Linked DNA regions of Pelodiscus sinensis. The protein of the gene in region 2 purifies or fractionates together with the protein of the main gene of each other region. This does not show direct contact. Links are inferred from orthologs where the notes say so. Each region holds a gene or a part of one and is shown on either strand. Other genes may lie near its edges.

What was found.
Region 1: the proteins of DNAJA2 (region 2) and LLGL1 purify together in Homo sapiens (co-immunoprecipitation; 3 studies listed by BioGRID and IntAct, with this or other methods). This does not show direct contact. The link is inferred for Pelodiscus sinensis from reciprocal best matches to the Homo sapiens genes DNAJA2 and LLGL1.

Annotation. Positions count from the first base shown.
Region 1 is NC_134726.1:34,107,322-34,115,035, reverse strand, and holds the start of LLGL1 (lethal(2) giant larvae protein homolog 1), read right to left. Parts: upstream 3,069-7,714; 5' UTR 3,054-3,068; coding exon 2,817-3,053; intron 1,423-2,816; coding exon 1,325-1,422; intron 1-1,324. UniProt on the Homo sapiens protein: Cortical cytoskeleton protein found in a complex involved in maintaining cell polarity and epithelial integrity. Involved in the regulation of mitotic spindle orientation, proliferation, differentiation and tissue organization of neuroepithelial cells.
Region 2 is NC_134722.1:27,730,807-27,738,215, forward strand, and holds the start of DNAJA2 (dnaJ homolog subfamily A member 2), read right to left. Parts: upstream 3,081-7,409; 5' UTR 2,948-3,080; coding exon 2,870-2,947; intron 1-2,869. UniProt on the Homo sapiens protein: Co-chaperone of Hsc70. Stimulates ATP hydrolysis and the folding of unfolded proteins mediated by HSPA1A/B (in vitro).

The sequences.
Region 1 (7,714 bases), on a different chromosome or scaffold from region 2:
CTATTTATCAGCAAGCCAGTTGCTAGGCACTGAGGAAACATCACCCGCCCTGCTGGAAGCCGAAAAGCCGCGCTCAGGGGAGGATCAACTCTGAGTCACAGCTTTGCCCGACAGCTGATTGCTGAGGCTGGAATCTTGGCCAGAGCTATTCGCAGCAACGCCCATGCAGGGAGAGGGCGAGGGCGTGCCCTCCCGCCCGCCCACCAGATCCGGGGCTCACGCAGCCCTCCCCAACCTCCACGGCTGGACCACAGAGCGGTGACATCACTTCTCCTCCCCGAGCCTGGTGACTCACGCTCAGGGAACCGCCCCAGGAAGCAGGTAAACACCAGCCTCCCTGGGGAGCACATGGGGGCACAAGCGAGGACCCACGAACAGGGTCGGGGGCAGAGCGAGGAGATCCCAGACTCCGGGCATGTGCTCCTGCCGCTACCTCCGAAGCAGACACCTGGGGAGGTCGCTGCACCTCTGGCTGTCCTCCTACCTGCCTCCAGCGCGTCTGCTCCTTACCCAGGCCCTATCCCCTCTCGCCTGGCACCAGAACTGTGCCCTCGCTTTAGAGCTGCATAAACAGCCCCTGCCCACAAGGAGCCACGCTGGAGCAAACTGGCAGGCGCAGCGGGGAACACCCATTCGCAGTGGGTTACGAGAGTCAAGACACCACCAAGCCGGGCTCCGTGGAGCCCTCCAAAGCTCCCAGCTCCGCAGCCTTCAGCCCAGGCACAGAGAGGACACGGGTAGCCAAGGCTTTCAGCATGGCTGCAGTCAAGGCAGAGAGATTTTGCAGAGGCAAGAAAAATAAAAGCTCCTCGCTGCGAGCCCGACTTTGCACACTCATCTGGACAGGGCAGCCAGCCAGCTCCCCAGGGTCAAGGCTGTTCCACGGGCCGAGAAACCCCACTTCCCCATCCAACACACCTGGCGCTCAGCCGCAGGTCCAATTTTCAAAGCCACAGGGGAGCTAATGAGTTGAGATCAGCTGCCAGATAGATCCTGGAGCCGCAGCAAGCTGGACAGAAATACAGCCCTGGCGCAGGACAGTCCCAACACCTCCCAGGGCAATAGAGAACGCCTCTAGGGGACGAGGGCTCCCCAAATGAAAATAATAGGTAGCAGGTTTAAAACAAACAAAAGGGCGTTTTTCTTCATGCAGCACACAGTCAACCTGTGGAACTCCTTGCCAGAGGATGTTAAGACCATGCCTGGTGGTAGCTGGAAAGCAACCCACGGGCAACAGCAAGTTCGCCCCGCAGCTGGCCCGAGGTGACCTTACCTTCTGCCCTTCTCCGGAGTCTCCCAAGAGAGCACATCCAGGAAAGGATACACTTTCACAGCTCCCGATTTGGTGCCGACTGCCATAATTCTCAGCTTGGGGTCGTAGGCCAGGGAGCTCGGCTGGTTGGGGAACCCATGTTCTACCGTCTAGGAGGAAGACGAGAGAAATGAGACGTCACCCGTCAGAGTCCAGCGGTGCGAGACGGACTCGTTGTGAGCCCCAAGAGAGGGTCACCCGTGGCCCCACTCAAAACCTCCCGCCGGTGCAGCCTCTGTGGGCTTGGGCAGTGTGTGCACAACTTCAGTCGCATCCTTATTTACCGGGCCCACAAGATCTCGCCATGTGCAGCCCACCCCTCCCTGCAGTGCTGGGGAGGAGCCGGGAGGAGAAGGACTCACGCTCTTGGAGGCCGAATCCCCGAGCACCTCCCTGAAAGTGATTTTCACGGGACAGGGCAGCTACAGGCAGCCCTGCCCTGTTAACCCATTGCCCAGGTGGGCTAGGCAAGACCCACACACCCCAGCCTAGCCCTTGGGCAAGCTTGAGCCCTGGCATGGACCGAAAACAGTCAGACCACGTCTTCCCTGCTCCTCAGAGCGACTTGTGCTCTGACAAGCCCTGCAGAGCTCAGCCCAGGATCAGGGCCGAGAGCAGCGTTCCCCAAAAGCAGCCGCCCAGGAGGGATTCATCAGTGCACATAAAATTTATTCCACACATGGGTGGAAAAAACTTAAGGGGAACATTGACCCGGAGGGTTCAGAGCGTAGGAAGCTGGGCCCTGCCCCAGATGGCAGCACGACAGGGAGAGAGTCAGGACAACAGGTCCAATCACCCCACACGCGGTGAACAGCCGCCTAATCTAGCAGCCCTGGCTCGAGACAGCTTGCGGCGACTGAGCTGGACGCAGAGAAAGAGAGTGGCCAATCCCTGAGCATCCCAGGGTCTGCGAAGCCTTTCAAACAGCTGCACGCAACAGCCAGGAGGCAGCGCCAGCCTCGCCTTCGCGCCGGCCTCCGCCTGCTCTTTGCAGCAAGGGCTCCGAGCAGCAGCTACAGGAGCAGCGCTCCAGAGACAGCCGGAGGCCTTCTCTTGCTGGCCACAGCCTCCCCTCCGGAAAGTTAAGCGCCCCCGCAGCCCGCCGGGTGCAGCTGCGGCCTCTCCTCTCACAGCTCCCACCTCAGGGGCCTCCCAGGCGGCCAGGAGTTCGGAGAAGTGGACGGGAGGAAGAGGGGAACGGACTCGTCAGGCTTGGCTGGAAGAGCAGCCTGAGTCGCTCCCTCCCCCCCGCCTCCCCCGAGCGGTCCCAGCTGCCCTCCGTCCATCCAAGGACCAGGCGGTTGGGGGATTTTTTCAGGACCAACCCGCAAGCCTCCTTGTGGCCAGTTCCCGCCCCCTCTCTCAAGGGCTGGGGTCAAGCTGAGCTCAGCGCAGGAAGGAGAAGGAAGCTTGGCTCTCGCGCCGCGGACACTCCCCTCTTCCCTCACGGCCCCTTGGCAAGCAGCGTAGCTCCGGGCAGCCCCCCAGAGAACACGTTCCTCACCCTCAGAACGGGGCCCCCCGCGGCCGAGCAGGGGGGCATGGGCATCCTATTCGCTAGCAACCAGAGCTGGGAGCAGCAGGCCCGAGGGGGGCTCCCCTCAGCAACTCGACGAACTTCACTCATCTGCCACACGGAGAAACAGGATGTTTTGGCACCGACAGCGCTCAGAACGGCGTTATCCAGGAAGTGGCATCGGCAAGAGCCCCCGTTACAGGCGCAGAGCACAGGACGGTACATTCCTCCTGCCCCAAGCGCATGAGGCTCATCCCCTCCGCAGATGCTCAGGGGTACGACCCATCCCGCCAACAGGGCCATCTAACACGGGGCACTTCCCGCAGAAGGCTCTCCCCAGGGCTGTGCCACTGTCTCCAGGACTAGGGCCAGTCTATGTGCACAATGCTGGGCCGCTGCAGCGTGTCTGATGAAGATGCTCCGTGCCGATGGGAGAGAGCTGGCTGGCACAACACAGTCACCTCCACAAGCGGCAGCAAGTGTGTGTGTGTGTGTGTGTGTGTGTGTGTGTCACACACACACACCCCTCCTGTGCACAATGCTCACCCATCTCCACAAGCGGCAGCAGCGCGCTCTCTCTCTCTCTCACACACACACACACCCCCCACCCTATGCACAGACCTCACCCATCTCCACAAGCAGCAGTAGCTCTCTGGCTAACACACACACACACACACACACACACACACACACACACGTGCGCACTGCGCTGTCAGTGAAACTTACATGGCTCAGGAGGTGCAACAGTCACACCACGAGTGACATTTCACCAACATCGGCTGTCGTGTAGATACTAGCCGTTGTGTCACAATATGGCCTGGAAGGTGCTGTTGGGAAGAGCCTACGCACAGACTCCGAACCCACGTGTCCACTTAGCATCTCCTCACTGCCAGCCTCCTTGTGGCGGCTCTGGGGCAGATGTTCCAAGCGGCCCTTTCAGCACAACTAGTACTTTCTCCAACAGGACGGAGCGGGGAGTTCGAGGAGGACGAGACTAAAGGATGCTCAGGAAGCGCAAAAGCAGGTTGGTTTGTAGACTTAGAATCCAAGGACAATTCAAGTTGTAAATAACGAGGCAGCTTGGGAGGCAGGTGGGAGTTTACCCAAAGCCAGTCAAAGGACGGCTCGGGAACAACCAGCCAGCAGCCCCCCTTGTTCCGAAGGCACTGCACTGACGCCAACTCCTGCGCAACTAAACAGGGCCCCGGAAATCCCAGCCCCACAAGGGCACGGTCACAGAGCACCGCAGACCAGACTCAGCAAGTCCCGATTTGCTGGCGGCTGCTGGGCCCAGTGCAGCAGTGAGAGACTCACCCCCCCACGCAGGGGATCGGGATTCTTACGCAGCCCTGCACAGAAGCTCAGCGGAAAGGCTATGGATGAAGTCAATGCCCTTGCCCGACGAAGGGCAGGTTTGGGCACCGGGTCTGTATGCCAGCAGGGGCTTTAGATCTCGGACCAAGCGACACCTCATCACCTCACACTGGAGGAGGCCCTGGACACGATACTGCCACATTTCTCCTGGGACCGGGGCTGGGATCTGCCCTGGTGTCGGCCACCGTATCAAGGGGAGAGCGGCAGGGCACAGCAGCCATGCACGGGTGATGCATGTATCTTCCATCCCGCCCCGCAAGACAGCGACCAGAGAGCACTGAACTGGAGCGCCAGTGGTGGTCCTCCGGCAGGACGGAGTCAGTACCATGCACGGCCCTCAGCCCCGCGCTGTGCTGCAGCCCACGGGAGGAAGGAGGGGACAGGAGCTGTGACCTCAGCAAGCCAGAAGGGTCACTGAGTGTGAAGCTACGGTCTGGAATTCAGGCTCCTTGGAGCTAGACCCGAGCTGCCTCGGCACCTTCCATCCAAGGGTCTCCGTGCTTGGCAGCCACCCGTTTGCACCCCGCCCCTCTGGGTTGTAGGTCTCCATTCTGTAAGTGGGGTACACCAGGAAGGCTAAGTGACATGCCCAAGGTCACAAAGCAAATAAGTGGCTGGACTAGGAGGGTTCTCTGCTTTAACTACTAGGTTGTTTTGCCAGCAGAAAACTCAGACCCATGGGTTGGGATGGCCAGCAGAGGACACCCGCAAGCGACTCACAAGCAGCGAGGGGCATTCACAGTCCTCAGCACGCACTCCCTCAGAGAGGAAGCATCACCCGCTGTCGAGGCAGGGAACAGCGCCACAGAAAGGAAACTGACGTGCCCAAGGTCAGCATGAGCAGTAGGAATTCAATCCAGCTTTCCCAAGTCCCCCAAACAAGGCAATTCATTGTCCCTGACAAGACACTGCACAATCACAAGGGGTGAATGGAGGGCAACATTCACCAATCTCCTACGTCAAGGGCTATAGAATTTCACGAGTCTACACAGGGGTCCTCCCAGCTGAAATATAGAGGGAATTACATACCCTTTTTAACTAGAGGCTGCCTCTCTGACTCCTCCTCAGGGGAATGGCACAGTGGTTGGCCAGAAGACCCTGATTCAATTCCTTGCTCTGCTACAGACTTCCTGTGCAACCTTGGGCAAGTCACTTAGTCCACACGCCCTCTATAAAATGGTTATTAATTTCCCTACCTGCAAAGAGAGGCACAAAAGACTGCAACACACTCGGGGATTTATATCTGGCTATGACAGCTAAGACATCACTCCACAGAGTATTCCCAGATCAACCTGCCAGGTCAGGACGCAACTTTTGCCTTTCGGCCGAGAGCAGGATGTACTGCAGATGCATTTAGTCCTTCCTTTTTGTCCCCCGAGTGACAAGCCGCAGCGGATTAGCAGCTTACCCCCTACCACACATACACTGACGTTAGCCATCTGCTAGTTTATGTTTCCCCCGGCTCCCAAAATCGTATGCTCCCGCCTCTCCAACTGCCTCCCCTGGTTTTCCCACTGGGAGCTGAAGATTTGGTTTATTACCAGCCGTCAGCAGCAAACACTTTATTTTTATTTCATGCACCAGCTGTTCAGCGCTCTTCCCTTCCGTGTGGGTTCTCCGTTTTGATGGGTTTCCGCAGACCAATTACGTGAGCGAAGTACTGCAGGCGCGCGGCTGTTTAACAGCCATGCTGCTGCACGTCTCACCCTGGTTTAATTACTCCGATATCAGCTTAATCACTGTCCTGGGCTAACTAGCCAACCAGGAAGCAATCAGCGGGTGGGGCCTGCTGTCTCATTCCCAGCTGCGGAATTCCTCATTGACACGAACCAATTGGCTCGTCCCCATTTTCCTGAAGGCACCCGATCCCTTCCGAATAGGCTCTGCTGGGCGAGTTCACCTGCAGCCACGCAGACGGCTCCTCCCACTCTCCAGCCAGGGGAGGGAACCAGCTGGTACGGAATTCAGACATCAGGACAGCTCGATTAGATCCCAGGGCTCTGACTACACCTGTACAGGACCTGGGATGGGCACGTGCGTTTGTTTGGGTACAATACTTCAGCGGTGAGCAACCTGTCTTCCTGGGTGGAGTGGCAGCACTTGGATCTGGGCTGGCCAGCAATTTGTTTTCCCGGCTCGGCGCCTGACGTACATGGACTCCCGGCGTCTGACGTACGCGGAAGTGGCAGGGGAGCGGACCAGCGCTTTAAATTAAAGGGGCCACAATAATGTTCCCAGCAGGTTTTTTTTTCTCCCCCCTTCAACAAAAATGTTCCCGGTGAATGAAAGAAGATTGAGCACCACTGCGATACTTGGGGCGTCTTCCTAGGGCGCTGGAAGGTATTAGGCAGAACTAGCAGGAGGGCTGAATATTCCAACCTCTTACATAGGCAGAAAACCCCTCGGCAGCAGGACAAGGCATTACATGCCGGGAGGCTGTTTGCCAAAGTTCACCGGCCACCCCTGCTCAAGCAGATCCGGCCTGCACCGCACCCGTAACGCAACATCCAAGGGGAGTCCGACGGGAACGACTCCACATGCTACAGCAATAGTCAGTGGCGCATCACCGCACGCCTGCAGCGAGCCTCCCCCGCTCGCCTTGCCTGGCTTCATACAAAGGCCCGTCTCCCCGCGGCCAGCTAGATCCACTCTCGACTTGCTCTCTGCGGTGACTTGTCCAGCCAACCGCCGACGAGCTGGCGTCTTGGCACAGGGCCGCTGCCACCAGCCCGCTCCCTTTGGGCGGGAGGCGGTGCCTTCTCCCAGGCAGGAGCGACCTGTCTTTGAAAGCGAGACTCTGCGTTTCTAGCCGCTTCTAGTCTTTTGAGAGGACGACCGGGGATCCGTGACTGGCCACAACAATCACTCCGAACCTCCAAAATCAGAAGGAGAGGAAGAGGCACGAAGTGCGGTTCCGCCACAGTCCCCTCTAAGGCTCTTGCTTACAAGTGGCCATCACGCAATCCTCAAGGCATCCCCTCTTCCGCCGCTCGTGCGCCAGTCTCGGCACTAGTGAGTGCACCGGGATGAGCTGCAATCTCCGCGCCACACCCACCCTTTGCATCCGTCCCCAGCAAACGGGAGAAGAGGGCCCAGAAGGTAGCTCCCCACAGTCAGCCGGCCTTTCGAGGAGCACCATTGCTGCTGGAGTCATCTGGACGATAGCTTCAGGAGAGAGCTGCAAAATCCCCTTGCACCAGTTAACGGGTTAAATCAGGGATGTAAGTGACGAGTCGACTACCCAATAAGCGTAGGCTCGACTAGTCACTCCCCCCACCTTGCTGCTTCTATCAGAGGCATCGGGGGGCGGGGGGAGGAAGTGGCTTAAAAGCCGCTCCCCCCAGCACCGACTCCGCAGAGGGAGGGGCAAGGGAGGCAGAGGTGCAGCAGGGAATTGGACCAAAGCAGTCCCCACTCGCTGGGTTTCAAACTGCTGCCCCTCTGCTGTTGAAATGTACAAGAGCCGCCTGTGGCTCTTGTACATTTCAAAGGCAGAGGTGTAGCTGGATAGT
Region 2 (7,409 bases):
TCCCTATATTGTCTCAGTTTCATTAGAGTAGCTTGTAAGTATGTTACAAAAGAACGGCCATACTGGGCCAGACCAATGGTCCATCTAGCCCGGTAGCCTGACTGCTTATAGTGGTCAATACCAGATGCCCCAGAGGGAGGGACCACAACAGCTAAACCTTACATGATCCCTCTCCGTCATCCATTTCCAGACAAACAATAGGCTAGGGACACCTTTCCTACCCATCCTGGCTAATAGCCATTGATGGATTTAACCTCCATGAACTTACCTAGTTCTTTTTTGAACCCTGTTAAAGTCCTAGCCATCACTACATCCTCTGGCAAGGAGTTCCAGAGGTTGACTATGCCCTGAGTGGGAAAAAAAAACCTTCCTTTTGTTTGTTTAAACCTGTTCCCTATTAATTTCATGTGGTGACCCCCTACTTCTTATATTGTGGGAATAAGTAAATAACTTTTCCTTATTCACTTTTTCCATACCAGTCATGATTTTATAGACCTCGATCATACTCTCCCACCCTTAGTCTTCTCTTTTCTAAGCTGAAAAGCCCAAGTCTTTTTAACCTCTCTTCATATGGGACCTGTTCCAAACCCCTAATCATTTTTGTTAGCCATTTCTGAACCTTTTCCAATGCCAATATATCTTTTTTGAGATGAGGCAATCACATCTGTATGCAGTATTCAAGTGGTAGGCATACCCTGGGTTTATATAGAGGCAATATGATATCCTTTGTCTTATTCTCTATCCCTTTCTAAATGACTCCTAACATTGTTTGCTTTTTTTTGACTGCTGCTATACATTGAGTAGATGTTTTCAGAGAATTATCCACAATGACTCCAAGATATCTCTCTTGAGTAGTTGTAGCCAAATTAACCCCCATCAAATTTTTATGCATAGACAGGATAATTTTTTCTAATGTGCATTACTTCGCATTTATCAACATTAAAATTAATTTCCCATTTTGTTGTCCTATCACTTAGTCTGGTGACGTCTTTTTGAATCTTTTCACAGTCTGCTTTGGTCTTAAATATCTTGAGCAGTTTGGTATTATCTACAAATTTTGCCACCTCACTGTTTACCCCTTTCTCTTAAAACCCCCCCCCACAAAAACAAACAAAACAAAAAAACACCTTAAAAAGCAATGAATAGCCTTTAAGATGCTATTAGACTAACAAAACATAACTTACTAACAAGTGGATGATGCCCATGAAAGCTCATGATACCATCAACATGTTTTGTTAGTCTTTAAGGTGCTACTAGACTATTTTTTTTAAGTTTTTCTACTTACAGACTAACTTGACTACCCCTCTGAACCCTTTCTCTAGATCATTTATAAATACATTGAATAGGATTGGTCCCAGGACAGACCCTTGGGGACACCACTAGTTCTCTCTCTCCACACTGAAAACTTACCATTTATTCCTATCTTTTGTTTCCTGTCTTTTAACCAGTTATCAATCCATGAAAGGACCTTCCCTCATATCCCTTGACAACTTACTTTGCTTAAGAGCATTTAGTGAGGGATCTTGTCAAAGGCTTTCTGGAAATCTAAGTACACTATATCCACTGGATCCCCCTTGTTCACATGCTCGTTGACTCCCTCAAAGAACTCTAGCAGATTAGTAAGGCATGATTTTTCTTTACAGAAACCATGTTGACTTTTCCCCAACAAATTATGTTCAGCTACGTGTCTGATAATTTTATTCTGTATTATAGTTTCAACTAATTTGCTTGGTACTGACATTAGAATTACACGTTCTCAGTATTTAGACACCCAGTTAGGTCCAAATTAATTAACGAGAGATTACGTGCTTGGCACTGAGAGATAGCTGGCAACTTTACCATTAACTATTTAAGTATACTTTGGACTATGTACTTGTTTTGTTTTATAGGTATTAAACAATTGCGTTTCCAAGACCACCATTCATACAACAAACAAGATGCCCCAAACAAGGTTTCTTTCTGTAGACAGTATGATCATACTTGGCTGCCATCATTTCATAGCTTCCTTTTATCAACACGTATTGGACATATAGTTTCATAACAATTAATGCCCACCCCAAACAAATTTGGCTATCACGTGCAGATACCTAGTTCACTGCAGCAGCACCACCATTATTCCAAGGGATCACAGGCGGTGACCAGTAAATACCTAACCAAGGCTATGATGTACTTTTAAGTGCTAGGTGATGCAGTTGGGAAGTGGGTAAGGAGTGGCTGGCATACTAGAAGATTAATACAACCAATACACGTTTAGAGGTCAGTGATGGGTATAGGGTAATGAGGATCCCAAAACACTGGGCTCTAATGCTCAGCTTCCTTGTTTATTTTCCCTAGGTGCTTTCAGCTTGGGAAAGACCAGCTCCACAGGGACGGGCCGGGGAGACCCAAAGGGGGCCCATGCTGCTGCAGTCAGACAATGGCAGTGGCTGGAACGCCACTTTCAGCAGGTTTCAGGGCTGAAGCCTCCAATCGCGATGGGATCGGCCCCCAGGGCACCACGGAGAGCAGGCGACGCTCCCTCAGCGCACGGGGCACGCAGTGAGGAGACACGCGCAGGCGGCTCCGGGCAGGGAACCCGGTCGACCCCCTCACGTTAGGCGGAGACCCCCCCCCCCCAGCGCCCGGCCAGGATCCCCTCCCCCACCCGCGGCCCCGCTCCCTCCAGCGCCTCCCCGCGGCCTACTCGCCTTCCCCGGCGCCGGCCAGGCAGGCCCCAAGCGGCTTCGCGGCGCGGCCTCGCCTGGAAGCCGCTTGGGGCCTTCCGCTCGGCCTGACCCCCGCCAGCCCGGCCCGGGGCCTCCCCGCCTCATCGTGACCTCCCGGCTGCCCAAGCGGGGCCTGCCCGGCGCGGCGCCTCCCCGGCCGGTACCTTCTTCAGCTCGTTGTCGGAGGCCCCGGGCGGCACCCCCAGGATGTCGTAGAGCTTGGTGTCGGCCACGTTCGCCATGGCGCAGGGACGGGGCGGGCTGGCGGCGCGCGCGGGACAGGCCGAGGGGGCAGCGGGGCCGGCAGCGAGGACGAGACCGGGACCAGAATGAGAGAGGCCGCCGCGGCGTCACCCACGCACGCGCGACGTCACCGCGCCGCCCGACGCCACCATTCGCCTTCTGCGGCAGAGCCCCGCCCCTGCGTGTCCTTCGGGCGCACGCCCCCCGAGCGGGGAGGGGCGCCGGCCGCCCGAGGCCACGCCCCCTCCCCGCGTTGGCCCTGGGCCCGGCTCGCGGAGCAAAGTTGGGGGAGGGCGGTGCTCTGCCTCGCTGCTGCACTTCCCTCCCTTGCTTTGCACAGAACAGGTCGGGCCAAAGGTCCACCTAGCCCAGTAGCCTGCCTGTCAGCAGTGGCCAATGCCAGGTGCCCCAGAGGGAGTGAACAGAACAGCAAAATACAGGACTATGTAGCACTTTAAAGACTAACAAGATGGTTTATTAGATGATGAGCTTTCGTGGGCCAGACCCACTTCCTCAGATCAAATAGTGGAAGAAAATAGTCACAACCATATATACCAAAGGATACAATAAAAAAAATGAACAAATATGAAAAGGACAAATCACATTGCAGAACAGAAGGGGGATGCAGGGGGGTGGGGGTGGGAAGGGGGAGGAAGGAAGGTAAGTGTCTGTGAATTGCTGATATTAAAGGTAGGGAGAGTGGGATGTTTGTGAGTTAATGGTATTACAGGTGATAATTGGGGAAACTGTCTTGGTAATGGGTGAGAAAGTTCAAAGACTTGTTAAGTCCTTGTTGGCAAGTGTCGAATTTTAACATGAATGACAGTTCAGAGGATTCCCTTTCAAGTGCAGATGTAAAAGGTCTTTGTAGCAGAATGCGGGTGGCTAAGTCATTTAGAGAGTGTCCTTTCTGGTTAAAGTGGCAAGAAACTGTTTTCTCTTTGTGATCTTGTCTGATATCTGTTTTGTGGGCATTAATCCTTTGGCGAAGTGTCTGAGATGTTTGTCCAATGTACATAGCAGACGGACACTTTCGGCACATGAACAGAACAGGTAATGGTCAAGCGATCCCTCTCCTGCCATCCCTTTCCAGCCTCTGACAAACACAGGTTAGGGGGGCACCACTCCGGCCCACCCTGGCTAATAGCCATTAGTGAACCTAACTTCCATGAATTTATCTAGCTCTTTTTTTTAACCCTCTTAAAGTCCTGGTCTTCACAACATCCTCAGGCAAGGAGTTCCACAGGTTGACTGTACACTCTGTGAAGAGAAACTTCCTTTTTTTTTTTTGTTTTAAACCTGCTGCCTATTAATTTCATTTGGTGACCTTTAGTTCTTATGGGAACCAGTAAATAACTTTTCCTTATTCACTTTGTCCATATCTGTCATGATTTTGTAAACCCATAGTCTCCTTTTTTCTCTACTGAAAAGCCCCAGTCTTTTTAATCTCTCTGTATATGGCATCCATTCCAAGCCCCTAAAATTTTTTTGCCCTTTTCTGAACCTGTTCCAATGCCAATATAGCTTGCTTTTTTTGAGATGAGACGATCACATTTGTATACAGTATTCAAGATGTGGGCACACCATGGATTTTTAAGGCAATAAGATATTTTCTGTCCCTTTTAAAGTTATTCCTAACATTCTCTTTGCTTTTTTGCCGGCTGCTGCACATCGAGTGGATGTTTTCCAGGCCTGTACGCAGGGTGTGTGCAAAAGGTGCAAAAGCACTCTCCTATGCTCCCCCAAGTAAGCATGATCCAGCTATTCATGGAAAGGGAGTGGCATGCTACCTGAGCCTCCTTCCCCCATGCTCTGGCTGGCTGGGGGAAGGCTGGGGCTGATTTCCCTGCTTACTTGGGAAACCATGGGAGGGGGGTGTATTTAAACTCTTGCAGTCCACATTTACAAAAAAATCACCCCCACACAAATTCCTGTGTACAGGCCTGTTTTCAGAGAACTATCCACAGTGACTCTAAGATCTCTCTCTTGAGTGGTAATAGTGATAGAAATGTAGCCGTGTTAGTCTGATTTAGCTGAAACAAAAAACAGGACTATGTAGCACTTTAAAGACTAACAAGATGAGGTGATGAGCTTTCTTGGGCCAGACCCACTTCCTCAGATCAAATAGTGGAAGAAAATTGTCACAACCATATATACCAAAGGATACAATTAAAAAAATGAACACATCTGAACATATTTCCTTTTCATATGTGTTCATTTTTTAATTGTGTCCTTTGATATATATGGTTGTGACAATTTTCTTCCACTATTTGATCTGAGGAAGTGGGTCTGGCCCACGAAAGCTCATCACCTAATAAACCATCTTGTTAGTCTTTAAAGTGCTACATAGTCCTGTTTTTTGTTTGAGTGGTAATAGCTAAATTAGTCCCCATCATTTTGTATGTATAGTTGGGATTATTTTTTTCCAATGTGCATTACTTTGCATTTAACAACATTAAAATTCATTTGCCATTTTTTTCCCCTAGGGACTGTTTTAGTTGAAAATGCATTTCTCAAGCTTTTCCCTTTCTATACAACATTACCCATATTCACCCAGCCCCGTTTGCTTCCTTCCACAGCTTCAGAAGCTTTATTTGAGTTTCCCCTGAGATTTGTTTTGATTTACCTCTGCCCCACATAGGCTGGGTGTCCTCTCACAATAAATAACCAGCCTGAAAATTGCTGAGTCATGGAGCAGAGGTTCTAGGAAACTCTCTGTAATGTTAAAAAACGAAACTAATATCACTTCTGCTTTTTTTAAAAAAAATCTTCATTATAGTTAGGTTGTGTTCGTGCAGTTTGTGTCTTGATCATGCATTTTAAAGGAAGGGGTCACTTGTTAGGCTTTTAGTAAGTTGAACGCTATACAGTAGTTACTGTGTTATGTGTGAATAAGTGGTAAACAATGCCTGCTATTCTCGGGACTTTTCTGAGTTAACTAGCTTATTCTGGCACATGAAACACAATTTAGAATGGGGTTTAATCATGATATTTGAAACCAGATCTGAGCTTTTCCAGAGTAAAGAGGGTTTGGATAGGATGTTGATACACATGCATTTTACAAAGATAGGTCAGTCTCTCCTGCATTGTGGTCCAAATTTCTCCAAAATACAAGAAGCGTATGCATCACTACATACATATTATAAATAATTATATTGGATTATTATTATTTGGACCAGTGGATTTAATTTTTTTGGCTCTAAGATGTACTTACTGCTTTAGAAACATCTTGCTAATATTTTGGTAATTACAATAACACATTTGTTTTGGCACCTTGTGGAAACATTAGGCATTATGTGAGGCTGCACTGGCCCATAGGGGCACAGAGTAATCTCCTGTGTGGTTCTTGGCCCAAGCCAGCCAGATCTTTATATATATATATATATATATATATATATATATATATATATATATATATATATATATATATATAAAGGTTTAGGAGGAGATCCTGGTTGTATTTAATAATAAGAGACTTCTCTCTTTAAATCTTGCATAAAGAGCAGCCTCTCACCCTTCTGCCCAGGTGAACCCCTTTAACTATTAACAAATATAGTATCATAAGCTTTTGTGGGCAAAATCCACTTCCTCAGATGAGATGAGAGGAAATCTCTAAGGTGCCTTAGGACTACTCATTGTTTTTAAAGTTACAGACTAACACAGCTACCTGTCTGAGCTCTTTGCCTACATGTGCCTCATTAAAGTGCTCTAGAATGCAGTATACATAGTTTCAGGATAGGGAGGCAATTGTCTTCATGCATTTATGCAGAAAGAATAAATCTTCCCCACTCTGTTGCTGTCCAAGTACTTCTGAGCCTTGTGAAGAATGATCTACCTGCTATAGGTGAGTCATGGTAGCACTCAGAAGATGCACTGCCCTCCTATGCCGACATTTTAATTGCTAAATGGGATGCACCTCTGCCCAGCCCTTCCTGTACCCCTTCCTGTTGCAGGCACCAGTCACCCCTGCCATTAGCCCTTCTCTTGCTCAAGATTTGGGGGAAGAGAGTTGGTTAAAACTTGGAGTTCAACCAGTGTGAAACCTGAGGTGAAAATGTTCCCACTGATACTGCCTGTACTGCCTGGAAAGATCACACAGTGACAGATACTTGAAAGTGAGGCTGATGGTAGCTTTGGTGAGGGGGACAAAAAGTAAAGAGAGGCCTGTTAATGCACATTTGAAAGAGACATGCTTCTGCCTAAAGGTATTTCCCTTCTCCACCTGTATGTCAGCCCACCATTCTGCAGACTATGCATTTTCTTTCCTGAGAGACCCTTGTTGCCTCAATCCAGTGCCGCATTATGCTATGTATAACCAAAAATGTTAAACTACCACATAACCCACCAGAAAATACATAAAGTAAGAAAATAATGTTGAAAGATGAAAGTGTTCTGAGCCTGCTTTGAAATAGAGTAAAGAATCAACAGCCAGGATGAGTTAGGTTTTACCAAACCGAGATA